Danio rerio: one gene and its partners. The main gene of each other region encodes a partner of the protein of the gene in region 2 in a complex. Links are inferred from orthologs where the notes say so. Each region holds a gene or a part of one and is shown on either strand. Other genes may lie near its edges. The genes, in order: polr2k, gtf2f1 and gtf2a1.

The links.
Region 1: gtf2f1 (region 2) and polr2k share a complex: the UniProt entries of both Homo sapiens proteins name them as parts of the TBP-based Pol II pre-initiation complex. The link is inferred for Danio rerio from reciprocal best matches to the Homo sapiens genes GTF2F1 and POLR2K.
Region 3: gtf2f1 (region 2) and gtf2a1 share a complex: the UniProt entries of both Homo sapiens proteins name them as parts of the TBP-based Pol II pre-initiation complex. The link is inferred for Danio rerio from reciprocal best matches to the Homo sapiens genes GTF2F1 and GTF2A1.

Annotation. Positions count from the first base shown.
Region 1 is NC_133194.1:13,080,987-13,084,744, forward strand, and holds the start of polr2k (DNA-directed RNA polymerases I, II, and III subunit RPABC4), read left to right. Parts: upstream 1-1,382; 5' UTR 1,383-1,462; intron 1,463-1,726; 5' UTR 1,727-1,728; coding exon 1,729-1,789; intron 1,790-1,986; coding exon 1,987-2,079; intron 2,080-3,758. UniProt on the Homo sapiens protein: DNA-dependent RNA polymerase catalyzes the transcription of DNA into RNA using the four ribonucleoside triphosphates as substrates.
Region 2 is NC_133178.1:32,757,286-32,760,943, forward strand, and holds part of gtf2f1 (general transcription factor IIF subunit 1), read right to left. Parts: intron 2,522-3,658; coding exon 2,351-2,521; intron 2,275-2,350; coding exon 2,060-2,274; intron 1-2,059. UniProt on the Homo sapiens protein: TFIIF is a general transcription initiation factor that binds to RNA polymerase II and helps to recruit it to the initiation complex in collaboration with TFIIB. It promotes transcription elongation.
Region 3 is NC_133195.1:17,659,132-17,662,789, forward strand, and holds part of gtf2a1 (transcription initiation factor IIA subunit 1), read right to left. Parts: intron 3,565-3,658; coding exon 3,475-3,564; intron 1,213-3,474; coding exon 1,105-1,212; 3' UTR 1-1,104. UniProt on the Homo sapiens protein: TFIIA is a component of the transcription machinery of RNA polymerase II and plays an important role in transcriptional activation. TFIIA in a complex with TBP mediates transcriptional activity.

The DNA of each region.
Region 1 (3,758 bases), on a different chromosome or scaffold from region 2:
CATAAAGACTCTGTGTTTTTGTAATAAAAGCGAGTCAATTAGCAAAGGGGAACTCAACTTAGTTTAATTTTATTTTGAACAACAATATAAAACGTCCAAATTTATAAGTTGGGAGACCTAAAAATGTGAGAATGTACAAAAGCGCTGCTAATAGGAAGTCTTATTTGTTGTTTATTATCTATTGTATAACTGTAATGTTACTGACGGAACCATTTTGATTACAATACAATCATTCTAGACATTCAACATAAAAACAAAACATGAATATCTTTCTGAGATGTCTTTTGGGGATAGTTTCTGAATATTGCTGCCCTCAATAGTTACAATGCATACACCTGTTGATAACTATGGAATATTAAATAATTTAAATATGTTATTACATTTCATAAACCGTTTTAATTACTTGTGCTTACACTTGATTTAGTTATTAATGGCCAACATGTGTCCTGTGGATTTGAATTACCTTCAAATGCAAAGTATATCTATCTTTTGCTCTAAAAATGAACATTAGTTTTAAAAAATCATAATAATATTTAAGGAATTAGCAGTATTTCAGTATTATTGAAACAGTAACAAAACATTTCAGTATATCAAAAAGATAAACAGCTATCAATAATTAGTAACTCTATTAATATGAATAAATGACAATTGGCTGGATCAGCTTGTTCTGACATATACCTTCGTTATAAACACATTATAAATGGGAATGTTGATATGTATTAAACACATTGCCGAGAAACAGAAACTGAAAGGGTGAGGCGGGATTACGACTGCCAGTAAAAAAAAAACACATTACAAACATAAATACTAACAGTGTACAGACTATCTGGTTATACCTATAAAACATATAATAGTATATAATACTGACAGTAAAGTTTTGCAAACTTACCCGAGAGCTGAACGTTTAACGTTACTGGCAGTTTTTGCAGCTGCGACTCACTAACGTTACTTCCTGCTCTGAGACCGTCAACAACACCGACAAATCAAGTGACAATGTACGAAACACATTTCACTCATACAAAAAATCAAATAATAATTATTCATTAATAATAACACATTTCTGTTAGTAAATAAATGTGTTTAGACTGTTTCACAATTTCAGGACAGGTTTAATAACAGCGTTACACATGAATTAATATAAACCATTAGCGTTAAACAAAAAAGTACACAAATAATACGTCTTCATGGTTACGTACGTCTGTCACTAAATGAATGTTTAAAAACGTCGCCGCGAAGTTTTTCTCCGCCATCTGAAATTGCTGGCAGTAATAAAATAAAAGTCCCAGATGAACCTGTAAGTCTCTGCGTAAAATGGTAATGTCCTCCCTCCTGGCGGCGTATGACGAGATTGGTTCAATTCTTGCCAACCAATAGCATTGTTCGTTACTGTGATGTGATGTCGCTTGTGCGCATGCGTGAACGAAAAACGTTTCGAAGCAAACAGAGAGCTCACGCGTGAAAGGTAGCTAATGCTTTGAATGTTTACATTTCGTACTCGTTTGTACACTGATAAATGACAGGATGAATGATATGTGCGGGGTTTTATTGCAATTTTAATATGATGAATTACGTGTCTTGTTGGGTTTATAATGGAAGAACGTGTTTGTGCATAGTGCAGCATCTCTTAAATGTGCTCTTACGATAGGTTTAGGTCAAATAATGTGTAATATTCTAATGAATTTATTCAATTTAGACTATATAATCATGTTTGTGTGTTTGCTTTAAGCCATGGATTCTCAGAAAGACATTCAGCCCCCCAAACAACAGCCAATGATCTACATTTGTGGAGGTGATTGCTCTTTTGATTGTATTTATGTTTATAATCTATATGTATATTGATCTATTAGAAGGTTTATGTATTGATTATATTTTTGTAATCAGTCATTTCTTTCTTAATGCTAAACAATCAAGATGTTCACAATCTAGTCTGTTTTTGAGCTTGAAATTTTGTGTGTGTGTGTGTGTGTGTGTGTGTGTTTGTTTCAGAGTGTCACACAGAAAACGAGATCAAGGCCAGAGACCCCATCAGATGCAGAGAGTGTGGTTACAGGATCATGTACAAAAAGAGGACCAAAAGATGTATCCTTTATCAACTAAACCAATGCTTTGTGGTAGGCCTGGTTGATACGACAAAAAAAGTTGATTAAATTAATTTCACGCTATAATCCTCTCATTTGCTAATAATGAGATATGTCATGATATAGTAACTAGGGATACAACAATACAGTTAGCCTTAGTAAGAGGTTAAGGAGAAAAAACTTATTGCAATACTTCTTTATTTTACTTGATAGCCAAGAAAAGTACACTAGTTTGTAGTTTAATGTATAATAAAAGTAAATTAACTGAAATCTCACAGCTGCTGGTAGCTTATGTACAAACTGGGGAACACGTATATTCCTACATTTTGAAAATACACATACATGTGAAAAATAATTTCAAATAAACATATTTGATGTAATTTTAAGCTCTGGATGTTTATTAGTTTTACATTTTCTAAATGCATATTGTGTCACTGTTTTGGAGCACACTAGCTAATAGGATTGGGCGATGTTGACCAATTTGCCATCATATGATGTATAATGTGAAACAAAGTAATGGACGATAACATCGTTATTGTAGGCGTCAGTGAATTAATTATTAATTCATAACGGATTAATTATTTGTAGCCCATGTTTCAACTACCTGACCCACAAGGTCTTTGTTTTACCCATAACCAAATCAAAAATAAATAAAGTTGCACACAAATTACCACCTTTCAATCACTTTTTCCATTGGACTCTGGCATGAATAGGCCAATAGAGTGATCTGTGTCTTTACAATGACATTGACAAACTTGGTTGGGAAAAAAAGGTGCACAACCAACCAACTGTATCTGAGGTTTTCACTAAAATTACTAAGTATAAGCATGAAAGCGAAACACCGAAGCAGTGTACTGATGCTGTGACACATTACCTGATAGATTCAAAAGACCAAAATGTCTGAAGCTCTGATACGAATGTATACTGCAGGCATAACAGTGTGCATTTTCATCGATATCGAGTGGAAGGAAGGCTTTTCAGAAATGCTAGATGAAACGCCTGTGTGGACGTAGGTCGCTTTTGTTCTAAAATGCCATTTTAAAACTAAGATGTATTAAGGCTGATTTATACTTCTGGGTCAAACACCGGCGTATGCTACGGCGCTGACGCATAGCCCTTCGCCGTGGCCATCGCCGTCACTGACGTGCACCTCTCAAAAAATGTAACTACACATCGCAACAACGCGTAGCGCAAGCTCTGTGATTGGTCGGCTTGGTAGCGCTGACGAGTCTGGGCGGGACCGAGAGCTGCGCGAATGGCGCGACGCCGCGCGAGCGATTGTTTACAAGTGTGGAGTCCCGTGATGGAGCTCCGGATGGAAAGTTTTGTTTTGTGTTTACCTTATAGTTAAAGTTGTTGCACGTCCGCCGGTTCCTGCCTTAAAATGAGCGAGTTTGAGCCACTTGTACATCCCAGAAGTGTTCAGGAAATGCAAAAAAGTAGCGAAGAAACTCAACACAGAGGAACATTTACACCTCACTGCCAACTAGCGTTTCGGAAGTGTTAATGCAAACCGACAGAGACAGCGCGCAGAAGTATAAATGCACAGCCACGCGCGTTGCCTGCGCCGTGGGTTACGCCGGTCACCTGACGCAGAAGTATGAATCAGGCTTTAGTGTAAACGGGGCCTAAGTGTGTATTTTTCACAAACGGATTGCTGCTACGGTGGGGTGGAGGTTA
Region 2 (3,658 bases):
AATAAAAGAAGATATTTTTTTAAACTGCCCCTATTATGCCATGTAAAATGTTTTTCACATTAATTTAAAGATCTCCTACAATTAGTTTACAAGCAGCCACATTCAAAAACACTCACAAAAGGCCTCTATTTTCTCAAAATATGCTTAAATTTAAATTGATCTAATTTCTCACAGAGCTCAAATCATTCATTTGATTTATCGTTTCTAAACCCCTCTTTCCAAGAGCCTCTTCTGATTGGTCACATGGTCTAGTACCCTGTGACAGGCTACTGCTTGCACAGGTAACACATTTAACAGAACGTTGAAAATTGTATACAGTAGACTATGCTGATAGATTTTACTAATAGTATTGAGCCAGAAACACTCTTTATTATTTATAGAAAGTAGAGATGTGGGATTAATTGAAATCGTATCAAAATCCTGATTTGAACACACGTGATATCTAAATCGCTTTACAGATTTTCCCACATTATGCTGTTTGAACCAATCATAATGTAGCACGCCTAAACAGAGCGCGAGAACAGGTGATTGAGATTAATGACAAATAAACTGCATAACAGGGATTATGAGTTCAGCACAGGAGGGCTTGGTGCCCAAAAAAAGTCAACATCTGGGGTGTGGGATTACTTTGGATAGAGGAAGACTGATGTATCACAGAATCAGGTAATTCATAAGACCTCTCAGTCAAATATTGCATCTTATAGCATATGGAAAGGGGAAGGCATGTCACTTGTATGTCAGTTCTTGTTACGTGACTCGCAGTGCAGCATTCTCAAAAGTGGAGATGTTTTCAACTGCGTGTGCATGGAATACATGCTTCACTCCCAATATACGTGTAAGCTGGGCACCTCCATTGGAAATAACTAACTTATGCAAAAGATGCAATATGTGAATGGCCCATTTCACGGCAGCATCACAAAGAGATTTAAGAGCTATGCATGGCAAAAATAAATTTGTGGACACATACAAAAGTACACATAACTACTTCTGATATGTGGTCAAACAGAACATCGTTTGAAAGCGTGTGTGCGCACACGCACGTACGCACAAACACTAGTCTATTTATTTGTTTTATCTAGAGACAATTTATTAGACCTTCAGTAGGTGTTTTTTTTTTTTTTTTGCTTTATGTCTGTTTTGGAGACGTTACAGTCTTTATAAAGAAAGATTTAATAAATTTCCTTTGGAATTACATTTCACATTCACACTGTATAACGCCTGTGTGTGTCAAAAACGTGATTAAAATTGAAATCGCAATATTGTTCAAGAAAATCATGACAGGTTTCTTTCAGCCGTGATAAAAAGCTATAATAGAGTGAAATCCCCACAAAATTTGCTTGTGTAAGTGAAATACCCATGAGGGTTTACTTTATTGTGTCCTGCATATTTAGTTCAGGGTGAAAATTAGATAGAAAACTGAAACAATGTCTTCTTTATGAGGTTGGTTTGATTTCATTTTTAAGATGCAGATTTAAGACAATTTAAATACTAATTAAGGCCTTATCTTTGCACTATGGAATTTAAGACTTTAAAAATCTGTGGACACCTTGTGTATGCAGCTTCTTCACTTATGATTGTGTGAAACTTGATTTAGCCCTACATTGCACTTCATACTCATGATTTCTCTCAGAAAAAATAACAACAAAGCGCAGATATGAAGCAAACAGTAGATTTAGCTGTTTTGGTGACATTGACAAAAAACGCTTCTAGACATGATGTTGATATGAACAAGCCACTGTGTTGGAGGGTCAAAATGCTGTTGGCAGGCAGCCCATGAAAAAGATAGACTGGTAACACAAGCATGTTGCATATCAATATGTATTGATAAGAGAAATTAAATTGGAATGAGTGGTTTAGAACTCACTCTTTTGTTAAGAGACAACTAAAGTAGTCAACATCTGAAACAAATCAAAACCTTTCATCAAAGTTGTCCTAAAATTATTCAACAACAACCATTCAAAATCAAATGTTGATTACTGAATATTCATTATGTACTTTGATCTTTAAATAAAAAGCATGATAAGGCACACTCATGTTCCTCTCTGACCCTTTTGCTCACCCTCACCATCTCCATTGCTGCCATCACTTTCATCGCTGCTCATTTCCAAATCTTCCTCGAGGTCATGAATTCGCAGGTCACCTCCTCTGCCTCCCTTCTTCTTTTTCTTTGCGCCTTTTTCTCCTTCCTCCTCATCCTCATCTCCTCCTCCTCGCTCCTGTTCTCTTAAACGCCGCTGGAGCATGATACTGAAGTGGTTCACCACTTTGTTTCTCCTAAATGAAAAATAATGAGCTGCAATCATCAAACTGCAAGCTTGTAATGCAGAAGAGAAATCAGGTTTGCCCTCACCTGCCCCACTCTTCCTCTGCTTCCTCAGCTGTGAGCGTGCGGTGTTTGGCCTGTGGTGTGAAGTTATACCAGGCGTGCACGGGAAATGCCTCAAAAGCACCATCGGCACTCTGTGTGAAGATGTAGTAGGACGCATTCTCTGTAACGCCCCCTTTTTTTATACCCTTAAATCTGAGTGGCAAAGAGAAAGAAAACAGCAGTAAAACAAGATCTAAACAAATAATAACACACTTTAAATGCAATTAAACACCAACAACAAATCCGAAATCAGCTCATTGTGTCAGCACGACTGGTTGCGATGGTTTTAATTAGTCACGAGCACATTTTATTCAGATTTAGTTTTTTATTGCCACCTTAAAAGTGGATGGCTTTTTAATGGCAAGACTAATATTTATAAGAATTACAATTTTCAATAAGAGAAAATTTTGAAAATAATGAATAGATTTTTAAATTAATTTTTTTAATTGTCTCAAATAGTTTTTCACTTACAGATACATGTCAGATATCTTACATCTGAATACACTCACAAATTAAACGATATATATGCATCCATTTTCTCTTTAAGCAATGTATGCTTTTACTTTTGTGCACATGTAAACTGTTATAAAAATAATAATAAATAGATTAAACAAAAAAAAAGAAGGGGGGAGACAAACAAGTAAAAATAAATAAATACAAAAAATATATACATGCATATCAGCAACAAAACTGTACAGGTAGGAATTGATCCTTTCGATTTTAAGTTAACGGAAAAGTTCAGTTTAAGGGATGTTGCATAATTGGTCCATTTTCCAAGATTGAAATAAATTGTTCCATTTTCTGATTCACAAATGCAGTATTTGCTACATTTAAGAAATATCCATTGTAATTTCCATCCTTGTATTTAGTGTGGGACTTTTGTGACAACCATTTTTTGGTAATGGTAATGCATTGTGTATTTCTTTCCAATATTTTTTAATAACAGAGCAGTCCCAGAAAATGTGATAATGACTCGCCTTTTGATGTCCTCGTTTTCTCCAGCAAAATAGTATTTTTAACTTCAATAGATGATAAACAATTTTAAAAATAACCAGGAAAGACGTTAAATGTTAAATGTTTTTTTTTTTTCATTTTAATGGTTTGGTCAATCAACTGATTTAATCATTAAATAGCAAAACAAAAGACATGAAAGACACTGATTAGAAAGAACATTATTTCAAAAAAATATATAATAAACTGTACTAATAATTTTAATCAAGTTTTATCAAATGCAATGTTAAAGTGCAAAAAGCCACAATCAGAGCTTCGTTTAAAATTTTAGTTTACTTG
Region 3 (3,658 bases), on a different chromosome or scaffold from region 2:
AGCAATGAATTACACCAAACGAACAAAGCCCCAAACCATGTCGTAGAACATTCTTGAAGCATTTTCCTCAGACACAGAACATTACGAATTTCAAACTGTATGAGGGCACGGCTTTAAAAAGTCAGACTACGCAAGATAAAACAAGTACGGAGGGACTAAAACAAACCCTAGGGTAACTCCACAATGCACAGAACCACATGCGGAAATCCTCCTCAGGGCCAAAAAGGAGCACTTCTTTCATTAAGAGCACAGTTCGGTGTCTTTTCCCCCCCGAAATATGAACGCTGCCTGAGCTTCGGGAATAAATACGAACGACTAGAAATGCGTAAAATAAGCCTGACTGGGAGGAAAGTAGGAAGGGCGGCCTGATGGAGCACTTCATAGACACCAAACGCAGAAGATTGCACACAAAACACACCAAAGCACCCTGTGATGCATCAACTCCCAAAAACATGCATCAGACTGACAGAGCAGAGTTAGAAAAACCCATGACAGACATAAACACGCAAACAGCTTTGTGAGATCGACAACTTGCGCTCAACTTGCCTGCTTTCATTGGTATCTCTTTTGCTGAACATACAAAGGTCTAAAAACATGGCATCTATTAATGGGAATTGTTGGAACGCAGCTCTTGCTGGATTGTTTTAGTGTTTGTATGAGGCGACCAATAGTGATTCGCTTTACACAGGATTCAGATTTACGGAAATCACCAAACACGTACGATTGCTGTGAAAAGGCTGTTGACAAATCTGTTTACTTAAGATGGCGTCTGACGCTAAAATCGGCTCCCTGCGCCTAACATTTTCATCTGAGGGGGCGTAGATGTTTTTGGAAAGGAGATATTATGGACTGAGTTTTTTTTTTTTTTTTACAGGTAAAAGAGTAGTCTTTTTAAAAAAGAAGGGGAAAAGAAAAAGAAATCTCATGGATGGCACAAGTTATTTGTGTGCAGAAATCACTCAAACAGCACAGTAGCATTGGGACGTTACTCTTCAGCACCCCAAGTGGGGAATCTCCTGAAATGTACAGTTTCAGGTCTCGATGTGTCTTGCCTTAAAAAGTAGGCAGTTTTTGGGTTTTTTGTTCTCTTGTCTTTCCCGCTTTTTACCACTCGGCGTCTCCGATGGCTTTGGAGAACACAAAATCCCGTCCGTTCAGATTCATGATGCCATCCTTCAGGTGAAATTTCCACTTGTTCTTACTTCTGTGAATCTGAAGCATAGATTAAGAAAAACAAAAATAAATTTCAGGGACTTTTGGACAGTGATTTCAACCCTTTCATGCGTATGATCACACCGGTGTGACTGCTAAAATTTAAATCTGATGGCGGGTGCTATAGCACTGGAAAAGGAGCGCAGCACTAATTATAAATCACAATTTACCTGTGCTTTCAAACAAATAACATTTCTTTTAGGTTTCAGACATTCAAATACACATAATTACAAGCAAAACAAACCAAGTAAAGTTTGTAAAATAGACGTGGATGTCTATGAAGACGGCAATAATAATTATATTTCAATATAACTGGACGATGTGCTTTATTCACCTAAGATACAAACTGTTTACATTACTAGAATATTTTCTTGGCAGAAAATTATTAATAAACATGACAAATCCAGCAGCGATCGGAAGTTAACGAGAAGTGTTAATATTATTTATCAAATCACACAATGTATTAATTGTATTTTATTAGCGTCTACCCCTCTCAACCCTAGACCCAAACCTCAAAGTTTGTAAAGTTAATGTAAAATAGTATTTGTTGTACAGTGTCAAAATTAAGCTATATTGAAACAAGTTTACACAGCTGAATCCCATCTAGACTTCACCCTCTCCTGCAGCATGGTGAAGTCTAGATGGGATACAGCAGAGGATACTCAATATAGCATAATCTAATAAAATACAATTGTATTAGATTACGCTATATTGATGAGTATACTCAGCTGTATCCCATCTAGCTAATAAACTGCACTCAATGCGGAATTTAATAAATATAAATACTTCTCGTTAACGTCCGATCGCAGCAGTATCCTTTCTAGCAACAACAGCAGCACCATTCTATCTCATATTTGACAATCGGAGGATCAGAAATTTGTCAATATTTACAGAAAAGGGCAAAAAGACTTTTCACTGTGCAATGACTAATCTTGCTAATAAAATCATGCAATCCAAAAGTTTGTCAATTGAACATTTTCAATAATGTAATATGCCATAGTGTTGACAGCGATAATTCACTCAAAAAAAAAAAAAAAAAAACTTAACTCACTTTAAAGTGGCTCTACACCTTTCGAGTTTCTTGTGTTGAACACAAAAGATGACATTGAAGAAAGCTGAAAACCTATAACCATTGACCATAAAAAAAAAAAAAACATAGAAATCAAGGGTTACAGGTTTCCAGCTTTTTTTAAACGATCCTCTGTTTTTAACAGAAAAATGAAAGTCAAAGAGATTTAAAACATGTTAAACAGGTCCTGAAAATGGAAAATCTTCCCCTGCTCTGCACGTTTCCTAATGCTGGTTTTCTGTGTGCGCAATCTGTCACTTACACAGAAACTCACATGCTCAGCAGACCCACTGAGACGCGCCTTTTCCGTCAAAATGCATCCGACCATAGTTTAAGTCTCGTAAAATGTCCAGGATTCAGGTTTTACTTTCGCATTTTAAAGTTGTCATTATTTGTATGCGTTTTTGCATTACCATTTCGCAGCTGAATGAATGTGCGCGCACAGCCGCGAGAGAAACATTAAATGATTATTCACATAATAAATGTCTCAGATAAACTTTATACTCGGAGAGAACAAAATGCCATCTATAATGGCTGCAAAATATTTGTACACCACTAGAAATGGTTAATCAAGTAATTTGCCTTATTTAAATAATCTACACTTTTTATTCTAGTAGTTATTATAATTTTTTGCAATAATGTCTATTTTATTTATTTAAATTAATTTCTCATTTGCTGCATGTTTTATTAATTTAATAACTTTAACCCACTGAAAAGAAAAGGTGTATGACAGTGTCATTCTAAATAAAAATCAAGGTAAAAAGCACATTATTTTTTGTTTGTCACATGATGTTGACCATTTATGTGCTGTGGGGAAAAGGGTTTTTTCCAATCAGGCTACCACTGCAAGTATATTTTAAACCTGTGGGAAGCCCTGCACAGAGCTGATCTTACGAGGAAATGTAACTATTTCACATTTTGTAAGTTTAGTTCTGTATAAGTTCAGTCGTATGAAAATGTACTATTTGTAAAAGGAGGCCCCCCCCAGGGGTCCGGCACACTTGAAAACTGATCTAAAATGAGTTTGACACCCCTGCTTTAAGGACTTAGGGTTATAATTTCTATATAAACATATATGCCAAATATTTGATAGATTTTCTAATAGTTTTTGCACTTAAATTAATTAATGTAAGAATATAAATGTGTGCAAGCTATCAAAACAGATTAAAGATATGTGATAAGCAAACACTCACTTTGTCATACTGGCAAACCACTACGTTCTCTGTGTCGAAGAGCTCCTGATCTTCCTCATCACTGACATCATCACCACTGTTTAACGGCTCCTGAAATAAAGACAGATTATTTAAAGACAAATTATGACTGGACTAAACCAGATGAGTTCAGGTTTAGATCCAGAGGCTCTGTGCCCAGCAATTG